Linked DNA regions of Canis lupus familiaris. The protein of the gene in region 3 purifies or fractionates together with the protein of the main gene of each other region. This does not show direct contact. Links are inferred from orthologs where the notes say so. Each region holds a gene or a part of one and is shown on either strand. Other genes may lie near its edges.

Evidence for each region.
Region 1: the proteins of CD81 (region 3) and PTGFRN purify together in Homo sapiens (co-immunoprecipitation; 7 studies listed by BioGRID and IntAct, with this or other methods). This does not show direct contact. The link is inferred for Canis lupus familiaris from reciprocal best matches to the Homo sapiens genes CD81 and PTGFRN.
Region 2: the proteins of CD81 (region 3) and IGSF8 purify together in Homo sapiens (co-immunoprecipitation; 3 studies listed by BioGRID and IntAct, with this or other methods). This does not show direct contact. The link is inferred for Canis lupus familiaris from reciprocal best matches to the Homo sapiens genes CD81 and IGSF8.

Annotation. Positions count from the first base shown.
Region 1 is NC_049238.1:54,893,199-54,896,842, reverse strand, and holds part of PTGFRN (prostaglandin F2 receptor negative regulator), read right to left. Parts: intron 3,314-3,644; coding exon 2,894-3,313; intron 1-2,893. UniProt on the Homo sapiens protein: Inhibits the binding of prostaglandin F2-alpha (PGF2-alpha) to its specific FP receptor, by decreasing the receptor number rather than the affinity constant. Functional coupling with the prostaglandin F2-alpha receptor seems to occur.
Region 2 is NC_049259.1:22,920,848-22,924,591, forward strand, and holds the start of IGSF8 (immunoglobulin superfamily member 8), read left to right. Parts: upstream 1-1,259; 5' UTR 1,260-2,706; coding exon 2,707-2,821; intron 2,822-3,028; coding exon 3,029-3,406; intron 3,407-3,744. UniProt on the Homo sapiens protein: Member of the immunoglobulin superfamily (IgSF) that links tetraspanin-enriched microdomains to the actin cytoskeleton and plays several important roles in innate and adaptive immunity.
Region 3 is NC_049239.1:46,911,680-46,915,423, reverse strand, and holds the start of CD81 (CD81 antigen), read right to left. Parts: upstream 2,683-3,744; 5' UTR 2,484-2,682; coding exon 2,418-2,483; intron 1-2,417. UniProt on the Homo sapiens protein: Structural component of specialized membrane microdomains known as tetraspanin-enriched microdomains (TERMs), which act as platforms for receptor clustering and signaling.

The DNA.
Region 1 (3,644 bases), on a different chromosome or scaffold from region 3:
GAGAGAGGTAGAGACACAGACAGAGGGAGAAGCAGGCTCCATGCAGGGAGCCTGATGTGGGACTCAATCCCTGGACTAGGATCATACCCTGAGCCGCAGGCAGGAAGCCACAGTCATTTTATCTGTTATGCAGAGATTTAAAGAATTGAAAAATAGATGCAATACCTATTCCTCACTCAGAAATACAAAAGATTTTATGTCTCCCCGGTTTCCCATAACAATTCTAGAGAAACATCAAATAACAAATGTAAAACAAGATGGAATAAACTCCTACAGAGAGTAAAACAGATACACAAATAAAAGACAAAAACCACATAATCATCTTAATCTCACTAGACACAGAAAAAGCATTTGACAACATTCAGCATCTCTTCATGGTAAAAACACTCAACAAACGGTAATAAATGGGAAACTTCCCCAACTTAATAAAGGGCATCTATGAAAAACTCAGTTATGATGACTTTTAATGGTAAAGGACTGAAAACTTTCCCCGTAAGATCAGGAACAAGACAAGGATGTCCACTTGTACGCTACTATTCAACAACATTATTCTAGAGGTGCCAGCCGGGGCCATTAGGCAAGAAAAAGAATTGGAAGGTATTCAGTTTGGAAAGGAAAAAGTAGAATTGTCTTTATTCACAGATGCCGTTTTATTGTATTTAAAACATCCTAAGGAGGGGCACCTGGATGGCTCGGTGGTTGAGTGTGTCTGCCTTTGGCTCAGGTCCTGGGGTCGAGTCCCGAAATGGGCTCTCCACTGGGAGGCTGCTTCTCCCTCTGCCTGTGTCTCTGCCTCTCTCTGTGCATCTCTCATGAATAAATAAATAAAATCTTAAAAAATAAATAAAACATCCTAAGGAATCAACCAAAAAGCAATTAAAACTAATAAGTCTAGCAAGGTTGCAGAATCCAATAACAATACATAAAAAATCAGCTCTGTTTCTCTATACTTGCAAGGAATAAATGGAAAAGGAAATTGAGAGCAATTCTATTTACAATAGCATCAAAAAATAAAATACTTAGGATATATTTAATGAAAGAAGTTCAAGATTTGTACATTGACAACTACAAACACTATGGACAGAAATTAAAGACCCAAATAAAAAGAAAGATGCTCCATGTTGATGGACTGGAAGGCAATAATGTTAAATGGCAATACTCTCCAAACTGATCTACAGATTCAACACAATTCCTACCAAAGTCCCAGATGTCATTTTTGCAGAAATCAATGGGTAATCCTAAAATTCATACAGAAATGCAAGAAACCCAGAATAGCTAAAACAATCTTGAAAAAGAACAAAGGGTCATAGTTCTTGATTTGAAAACTTACTACAAAGCTACAGTGATCAATGTGGTACTGGTATAGGAAAAGACAAATGGGGCAACACCATAGGACTGGGAGTCTAGAAAAATCCTTAAATTCATGTTTGAATGATTCTTGACAAGTGTGCCAAGACAAGTCAAGGGGAAAGGAAGAGGCTATTCAACAAGTGGTGTAAGAATGGCTGGGTGTTCACATGCAAAAGAATAAAACTGAATCCCACCCTCTGCTACACACAAAAATCAGGGCTTCTGGGTGGCTCAGTCAGTTAAACATCTGCCTTCAGCTCAGATCACGATCTCAGAGCCCTGAGATTGAGCCCTGTGTTGGGCTCCCTGCTCAGTGGGGAGCCTGCTTCTCCCTATTCCCCAGCTGGTGTGTGCATGCACACATGCTCTCTCTCAAACAAATAAAATCTTTTAAAAATTTTTATTTAGAACAGATCATAGCACTAAGTATAAGAGCCGAAATTGAAAAACTCCTTAGAAGGAAACAGAGGCATGTTCTTATAGCATAAAAACATTTTACTTAACCAAAAACAAAGTCAATTCAGGATAGACACAAAAATGCCCTTTTTTTAGTTAACCTTGCCGTACACGACTACCACCAATAACTATTAATGAACTGGTTGACAGATATATTCATCCATACCACCACAGCTCTGGCAACTCAACTAGTTGATGGGAAATCTTTTTCTAGTCCCAAAGCAAGGTGAGGCATAGGCTGGGATACTCATTTCCTGCGTGGAAATACTGGTCTATGAGCCAAGCCAAACACAGTACCCAGCACCTTCAGTCCTAGGGACCCCTAAGAGCGAAAGCCAGGGGCCTGATGCAACTGGGGTCTTGGCTCTGAACCGTACACATTTGGCAAGTTATGTAACCCTTCTGGAGACTCCGTGCCCTCTTTAATTATACTCCACCGTGTTCTCTAAGGGAGCTAAAATAGCTGGGTTTTGGTTTATCCATTAAAAATAAGAAATAAGCATTGTAGGTACACCCAAAAATTTGTACACAAAAATTCATAGGATCATTCCTAATAGTCCAAGAACTGGAAACACGCAAATGGCCACTAGGTGATAAATGGATAAAACAAAATGCAGTGAAGTATCATTCAGTCACAGAAAGGTACTGACACATGCTACAACATGGATGATCCTCGAAATAAGACCAAAAAAAGAGAGAAAACAGTATGCTACAGGGAAAGAAAACAGACATGAAGAGCATATGTTATATTCCATTAATGTAACATAGATGTCCAGAACAGACGAGTTTACAGAGATAGGAAAATAGATTCGTGGTTGCTAGAGGGCTGGGAATGGAAGGGTGTCAGCTAAGGGATACAGGATTTCTTTGGGGTACAATGAAAATACCCTACAGTTGACTGTGGTGACAGTTGCACAACTCTGAATATACTGAAAGCCATCGAAGGATACCCTTTAAATGAGTAAGGTATATGGCATGTGAATCACATCTCAAAGAGGAAAAGTGCTTAAGAAAAAACAGCCATTGGATCAAAATCCTAGGGTCGCTCTCTGGTTCAGTCTGTGGTTCAATAGGGTCCCTCGCTCACCTGCAGTTTGGAAGTCAATCTCAATAGGATTGGAGAGGCTGGTGGCTGCTTCTCGCCACAGGCTGCCCCTGACAGGAGACCAGGCTGTCACCATGCAGCGGTATAGCCCTGCATCCGAGACCTGAGTCTGGTACATTCGGTAGCGAAATTCATCTTCCTGCACTTTCTCCAACACGACGCCGTCCACCCGGGATGCGTCTGTCCAATTCTCCAGCTTCACCACAGAATCCTGGTCCAGGGAAATGATGTACTTGGTTTCGTTGGGGCTGGTGAGGTCCCCCACAGGCTTCTCAGCAGTGATGAGAACAGAGTAGCGAGGCGACTTAATATTCTTGGAAGACACTTTGCAAGTCATCTCAAATGTATTCCCTGCAGCAAAGAAAGGCTTTGGCTGCCTTGCCTTCACCACGAGCACAGAATCTAGAATGAAGTACCAGAAAGAGGTGATTGCCAACAGGACAAGTGAAAACAGATATGTGTCTGAAATGACAAGGAAATTGGACTTTATGTGCAAATTGCTGTGCGATAGCACTTGAGGAAATCAGAAGGAAAATCATGAGTGTCTGTAAGCAGGCTACAAACCACCAGGCTGGATAAAGCAGAACAGTCTGATGTGATTTAATGGGAGACTACTGGTGCCCTCAAGGATGTGAGGCAGAGCTCACTCTTCGTTGTGAAGAGGAAGAGACATAGCGGAACACAACACCCAGGTCAAGGCCGTAGGCCACGCCAGGTGCCTCCTCTCCCCTGA
Region 2 (3,744 bases), on a different chromosome or scaffold from region 3:
CGGGACGCAGCTCTAGGCCGGGCCGGGGCCCAGGGAGGACGCAGCGCCCCCACTGCTCAGCCGGCGGCCTCGGGGGGCCCGGGGGCGCTGCGCCCAAAGGCTGCGACTCCCTCTGCCTCACACCGAGCTCCGGGCCCGGCTCTGGGCGCCCGCCCTGCGTGGGCAGCGCTCGCCCGTCTTCGTAATTGCCCGGGCTTGGCTGGAGGCCCAGGGGCCGGTTCTGCCCATGATCTTTGAAGTTCAGTCTCCCCTGGTGGCTCCCCTCCCCCCAGACTTCACCGTCTGAGATTTGGGGCAGTTCCCTCCCCCGTCACCCCCATCTCCATCCTGGGCTGGGTCTCCCTTTGCTCACTTTCCCTCTCTCAGCTCCAGCACCTGGCTCTGTGGCCTCCCACCGCTCGTCACACCCCTTAGTCCCCCAGTCCCTTCCTGGGGAGAAAGCAGGCTCCGTGGAGACCAATGCTGGGATCTCCAAGCACCTTGTGTCTGTGAGGGTGGGTGTCCGTGGTGAGGTGTTCTGGCCACCGCTGCATGGATGCATGAGGGCACTGACAGCGCCATCGCTTTTGGCCTCAACTGGAGGGTCCCTTAGGAGGTGGTCTGGGGAGGAGTATGGCTTTGAGACAGGGACGCTGCCAGCACAGATGTTTGGGAGACTGAAGCTCTTGAAATAAGAGCGCAGAGTGGGGGTGGCCCTGCCCCCCGGATTCAGAGTTGCCACAGTCAAGGCGCAGGCTGACGAAACACCAGCAGCCCGTCTCTAGACCAGAGCTCCACTGCAGTGCCAAGCAGATCCTCCCCTGGCTCCATGGGTCCCTGGGCCCTGGGGAACTAGGCCTCCTTGGGCCCTAGGTGAGAGGCAGGAGGAAGTTGCTGTGGGGCCTGGTTGCCTAGCAGTTGGCCGGTTGTCCCTAGTGGATGGCATGGAGTGGAAGAGCCCAGGGGAGGTGGGGAAGTGTGATACACAGACGTGCAAGAACCTGCAGAGGTCTGAGCACCCATTGCGTGCAGATGCTTACGTTCATTCTGAAGAGGAGGAAAATGAGGTAATTTGCTCCAGAGAGCCCATCTAGTGAGTGTGGGGGCTTGGATTCGAACCCAGACCCACCTGACTCCAGAGCAGGTCTCTGCTGCCCCGCCTCCCCTCCTGGGCTGGGGAGAAAGCTGTCTGGCAGCTGGTTTCTTTCTTTCTTTTTTTTTTTTTTTTTTAAGATTTTATTTATTCATTCATGAAAGAGACAGAGGCAGAGACACAGGCAGAGGGAGGAGCAGGCTCCATGGAGGGAGCCTGATGTGGGACTCGATCCGAGGTCTCCAGGATCACGCCCTGGGCTGAAGGCGGCGGTGCTAAACTGCTGAGCCACCTGGGCTGCCTGGCAGCTGGTTCCCTAAGGCGGCCTGGCTGGCCTGCTTTCCCATGGGGATCTCCACAAGCAGCAGCAGCTGTGCGGCCAGGAAGGTGGGAGGGGGCCCTTCTAAGCAGAGTCTGCCCTGAAGCCCTAAGGTGTCAGCTGTCTCCACCATCACCTAGATTATGAAATGCCCTGGGGCAGGGCCCTCCTGAGTCACAGGCTCACTCACTCTCAGAGAAGCAGCCCTGAGCTCTCCTCCAGGAGAGGAACCGTCTTGGGAGAGGAAGGGACGTGTCAATCCAGCTGAGCATGGGGCTGTGTCTGGGACCCAACCTCCTGAGGCCCAGCATGTGCTTTAACCAGGCGGCCATGAGGGACTCAGCCACAGGAAGAAGGGGCTGAGAGCCCACTCACGTGGGAAAGTCAAGGGGAGCACTTCTGGAGGAGCTAGAAGGCAGAGTTTGACCGCGGACTTTGTGTTTTCCTCTGGCTTCTGTAGAAAGGCCCTGGGAATGCCCCTGGGAGTGACATTCTGGTTGGTGAGGTCAGTCCCCTCAAGCCTGGCCTGGGAGTTTCCCATCTTCCTCCCTGGCTTCGTCCCTCTGCAGGGGCCTGTGGAAGCCATCGAAGGGTAGTAAGATCTAGACAAGACCTCTGCAGTGTCTTGGTCAAGATGTACTTCTCCAGCCTTCCATCCCTCGTCTGTGAAATGGAGGCAGGGTGCTGACCGGGGGCTGCAGTTCTGTGGTTTTGGGGGGCAGGGGTTGGCTATGGAAGAATGGAAGGAGAGAAGGAAGAAGCAGGGCCTCTCCAAGGGCCTTGGGAGTGTCCTGTGGGGCTGGATAAAGAACAGAAATTTGGCCTCTCTGAGGAGAGCAAGATGGGAAGAGACAGCTGGGGACCTCTCAACAGAGAGGGGACCTTACATAAGCGAATGCACACCATATGCAAATGAAGGCTTTTGTTAGGGAGTTGGAGGTGCCCTGCATCAGCTGGGCGAGCCCAGAAGATTGGCAGGCCCTTGAGGGGGGGGAGTCTTCTGCCCCCAGAGGCCAGGGCAGAGGCTGGTTCTTGCCCCAGAAGCCTCAGCTGCCTCGGCAGTGCTGCCGGGTGGGAGAAGCAGTGAGCTCATGGCACAGCTGGAGGGGGGAGGGCATTGTGTGGTGAGAACTGGCTGGGTCTGTGCCCTGTCCTGCTCGGCCACTGGCTCCATTGTCTGGAGTCCCCTGGTCCAGGTGACACAGCGGAGCCAAGCAGCCCTCATAAGGAGGTGGACGTGTGGTCTCAGAACCCTTAGCTGGAAGACCCGAGGACCCGGCCCAGAGCGGATGAGGGTGGGAAATGCCGGAGGGACATGGAGGTGCAGCTGAAGCCAAGGAGAGAAAGCAGCTGGACCTCGCTCTGCCCGCGGGCGGCTCACCTCTGGCCTGCCAGAAATGGGATGTTTCTGGGTTCTGAGGCAAAGCCAGGTCTCTGACCCCCTGGAGACCCAGGTGTCCTACCAGGTGTCTTAGCTCCGGGCATCCTTCCCCTTTGCTCAGGGCAGGGCCCCAGCTGGGCCCCCACCCTTCCCCAGGTTTGCTCTCCTTTACCGGGCAGGGGTCCAGGATGGTACTGGCAGCGGGGGCTGCAGTGGGGGCCCAGGCCTCTCCAGCTTCTCCCGTCCTTTCCTACAGGAGTCCAGGGCTCTGCCCGGGAGGTGCTGGTCCCCGAGGGGCCCCTGTACCGCGTGGCAGGCACGGCCATCTCCATCTCCTGCAACGTGAGCGGCTACGAGGGCCCGTCCCAACAGGACTTCGAGTGGTTCCTCTACAGGCCGGAGGCCCCCGAGGCTGCTCTGGGCATCGTCAGCACCAGGGATACCCACTTCTCCTACGCCGTTTTCGGGCCCCGCGTGGCCGCTGGTGAAGTGCAGGTACAGCGTCTGCAGGGGGACGCTGTGCTGCTCAAGATTGCCCGCCTCCAGGCACAGGACGCTGGCATTTACGAGTGCTACACGCCCTCCACTGACGCCCGCTACCTGGGCAGCTACAGCGGCAAGGTGGAGCTGAGAGGTACCGGCCTGGGGTGGGAGCGGGCCCGTGCGCCCCGAGGGGACAGGAGGGGCCGACCTAGCGCCCCGCCCCGTCAGGTTGTGTGGCTGAGGAGGCTGAGGCACGGAGTCCGTGTGGGGCTCGCACACAGTCACCGGTTGGTGGCCGGCCCGGGGCTCTGAACCGGCATCTCTTCATTGCCGCCCAGCGCCCTTCCTCTTCTGTGGGGTTACCTCCTGGGAAAGGGGGAGCCGGTCCCCGCCATTCCCTGGTCGGGGAGCCCCCTCGGGGGAACAGGCTCCATTCCTGGGGATTCCAGGATGCAGATCTGGGGGCGGGGGGGCCAAGCGGAGGTAGGG
Region 3 (3,744 bases):
AGACGCACTCCTTCCTGGGGAAGCCAGCCTGGCTGCCTTTGAGGACTGCTCCCATGTGTGAGCCTTTTCACTCTCTGAAATGAAACTTTTAAAACTGCCCCGATGCAGGTACCCACTGTCAAAGTCTCCTCCCGGCTCCCCCTCAGCACCCACTCCTGTACGGTGGCCACGGTGCACAGTGAGCGAGTCAGGCCAGGCACTGGGGTGCCCTCCCTCACCCACCACCCTCTGGGGCATCCGAAACCCCTTCCCCGAGGCACAGCCCACACCGGGCCAGGACAGCAGGACAGCAGTCTTCCTGCCGGCCATCCGTGCCCTACGACCACCTCCTGAGCTCGCCTGTAAGGGTGTTAGCTAATCTGCCAGCCCCGGGAGACAGGACGTGGAAAACGTCCACCTCAGGGGGCAGGACTCCAAGGCCCAGGACTGCAGCAGAGGGGACAGGGCTCCACCACCCAGAACCAGCCCCTCGGCACCATGCTGCCAGCCAGGTGAGGCGGGACGCCCGCAGAGAGGGGCTCTGCCACAGTGGTGGCCCCCAGCCCCACCTTGCTCAGCTCTGCATGTCTGTTGCAGGGGTGGGTGGGACCGAGGCAACTGGACCGTGGGATGCAGCGCTGAGTGCTCAGCTGGGTGGCTGGGAGAGGAGAGGCCTGGAAACGTTTCCTCAAGCCTCAATGAAGAGCAGCCCCTGGGGATGTGTCAGGCCTCTGCCCAGCTGCCTGGGGAACTACCGGACTCGCTCAAGCAGAGCTGGGAGGTGAGCGCGGGCTGCCCTGGAGACCTCCCAAGCTGGGCAGCGGGGAGGGACTTACCCAGAGCTGACACTCAGCCCAAGGACAAGAATCTACTCCAGAAGACAGCCTCTATGTCTGTCTACCCTCCACTTCCTGGTCAGGGTCCTCACCCCACATCCAGGCTCCGCTGGTAGGGGAGGGGCTCAGAGGCCAGCAGAGGGGTGTCTGGGTGTCCCTTCACCCCGACCCCTATACACCCAGGCCATAGCAGGCAAATACTAAATCGACACTCAACACCACCTCTTCGGCAAAGACCCCAGGCATGGTTAAGGTCATACCTGGCCCATCCTGACAGTCCCCGTGCTCCCCACTCCCCAGGCAGAGGCCAGTGGCCACAGCGACCCCCAGCTGTGCCTCCCACCCAGGCGGGGGGCAATGCCTCCACTTCACCCTCAGCTAAAGCTCCGTCCAGTCTCTGTCCCCGCCACCCCAAACACCTCACTGCCCCAAGATCCACGCTGGGATCCTCGGATGTCCAGAACGGAAACAGATGTCCCCAATCCCACACACTTGCTCTGGGGACCATTTTAAAAGTTTACCCTCTTGCATCTACTTGGGAAATACACTGTCCAGCAGATGTTGTCATGGTCCTTTCCCAGAAGGAGTGAGCAGCCTGGGTGGCGAGCAGCACACAGCCACCCAGGAAGGTTCCCAGGTCCTGCGGGGGGTGGGGGGTGGGGGGGGGGAACATGACTGGCCACGAGGAGGCAGGGCAGCGCCAGGAGAGGGGTTCCTGCACCCACTCGGGGCCCCTCCCCAACTCCAACACAGGCAGGAAACCGAAACAAAGCCAAAGCTCCAGCGTTCCTGGCCAGCAGTTACCACCCAGGCCAGGAAAACGCGACTTGCAGGTCAGCAGCCTGACGGCCCTGAGACCCTCCTGCACCCCAAGATGAACATCCTGTGGCTACCTCTTCCAAGGTGGACGTCCAAGCTCAGACCGAAGCCCAGACCTGGGCATCCCCTGGGACCCAGGCTCCGGAGGGGCCCAGAGGCGCTCGGGTCCACGGGGCCCCCTGCCCGCCCTGGCCCCACTCCCCTCAAAGCCTCCACCGCGTCCTGGCCGGGGCAGGCTGCAACCCCGGGCTGGGGGGGCAGTGCAGGGGGCCGGCCCCACCAGGCGCGGGCCGCTGGGGGCCCCCCACGGCCATCCCCGGGGCGGCAGGGCTTGCTGGGCCGGCCGTGGGGCGAGGGCTTCCCAGGACCGCACCGAGTGCGCGGCCCCCCTGCCCCCCGCCCCCCGCCCCCCCGTCCTTCCAGGGGCGGCGGCTCGGATGAGCTCATGGGGGCGGGGCGCCGGGAGCCCCGCCCCCCGAGCCCCCTCGGTGCCGGCGGAGCAGGGTGGTCCCCTCACGGCGGCCCGCGGCCCCCAGCCCGCTCCCGCCGCGCCGCCCGCCATCGCTCGGCGGGCTCAGCCCCCACGGCCCCCCGGACGCCCCGGCCCGGCCCCGCGCCCCGACAGCCGGCTCGCAGCACCCCCTCCGCCCGTCTGCCGGCCCCGGACCACCCCCCGCCCGGCGCCCACAGGTGGCCCCTCTGCGCGGCCTAGTGGGGCGCGCGGCCTGCCGGGCTCGGGGCGTCCCGGCCCCCCCCGCCCCCCGCCCCCCGCCGGGGGCTCACCCAGAAGACGAAATTGAAGACGAAGAGCAGGTACTTGATGCACTTGGTGCAGCCCTCCACCCCCATGGCGGCGCGGGCGGCGAGTGGCCTGCGGGGTGCGCGGGGCGGGCCGGGCCGGGCCGGGGCGCGGGGCGCGGGGCCTGGCGGGCGGCGGGGCGGGGCGCGGGCCCGGGGCGCGGGTGCTCGGGGCGCGGGTACTCGGGGGCGCGGGGCGCGGGGCGCGGGAGGCCGGGCCGGGGCGCGCTGGGTCGACCGCCGCCGCTGCGCGCTCGCTCTCTGGCCGCGCGCGCGCCCCCGCCGCCTGTTATAGGGCGCTCCGGCCCCGCCCCCGGCCCCGCCCCCGGCCCCCGCCCCGCCCCCGGAGCGCGCGCTCCGCGGGGGTCAGACCTGGGTGCCCCGAGCCCAACGCCGGCCGGCCTCGCGGCGCCCTGCGAACACCTTCCCCTTCTCTCGGCCTTCCCCAGGCGCTTCGGACAATCCAAGGAGGCTCCCTGGAGGAGGTGATGCAGCAGCGAGTGCCCCCCAGGGTGGGTGATGAGCCTGACAGCCAGCCGGCCTGGCTTGAAAATCCTGGTCATCCACGGTAAGGGCAGTTGTTGAGCACGGCGACAGAGTCTGCTTGGAAAGGTCCCTGAGACGGTGACCGGTGTTAAATGTCCAGGAGACCCCAGCCACCTGTAGGACAGCCTCCAAACACTGTGTACTCTGCTCACCCCGGTGGAGGCCAGCCCCACAGTCAAGTCGGTTTTCTGAAGATGGGGGCCGGGGGGCAGGCTGATGGGGATGCGGGCAGGAGGGGACCCATCAAGTGGGCAGTGCTTCTCCCCAGGTGACAGAGCGGACCTGTGGCCTGGTGACTCTCGGATGAAGAAGTGGAAATGTTCCGTGTAACCCTGGCACAAATGACTGCTGACCCCTTGACACGGGGCCAGTGCCACCACCCAGCAGGACCCAGATTTTTCATTGTACTTCACTGCAGTGGGAATGGCCCTGGGTGGCCAGCAGCTTCCTATTAGCCGGAGCAGCCCTAGCTTACTCCTGTCTCTGTACTCTTATTTCTGTAGTTTTCTTGGTGGTTAATTTAAAAAAATCTGTTCCAGGGGCACCTGGCTGGCTCACTTGGTAGAGCATGGGACTCTTGATCTGGAGATGGTGAGTTCAAGCCCAGTGTTGGGTGTGGAGCCTACTTAAAAAAAGAAAGTTGGGGTATAAATAAAATATAATAATAAAATCAAAGTCCATCCTGGCTTCCTGCTTGTATAAGAGCTATGCACACGTGTTTGTACATAGTGTAGTGTTTGTGTGTGTTGAGATAACATTATAATAA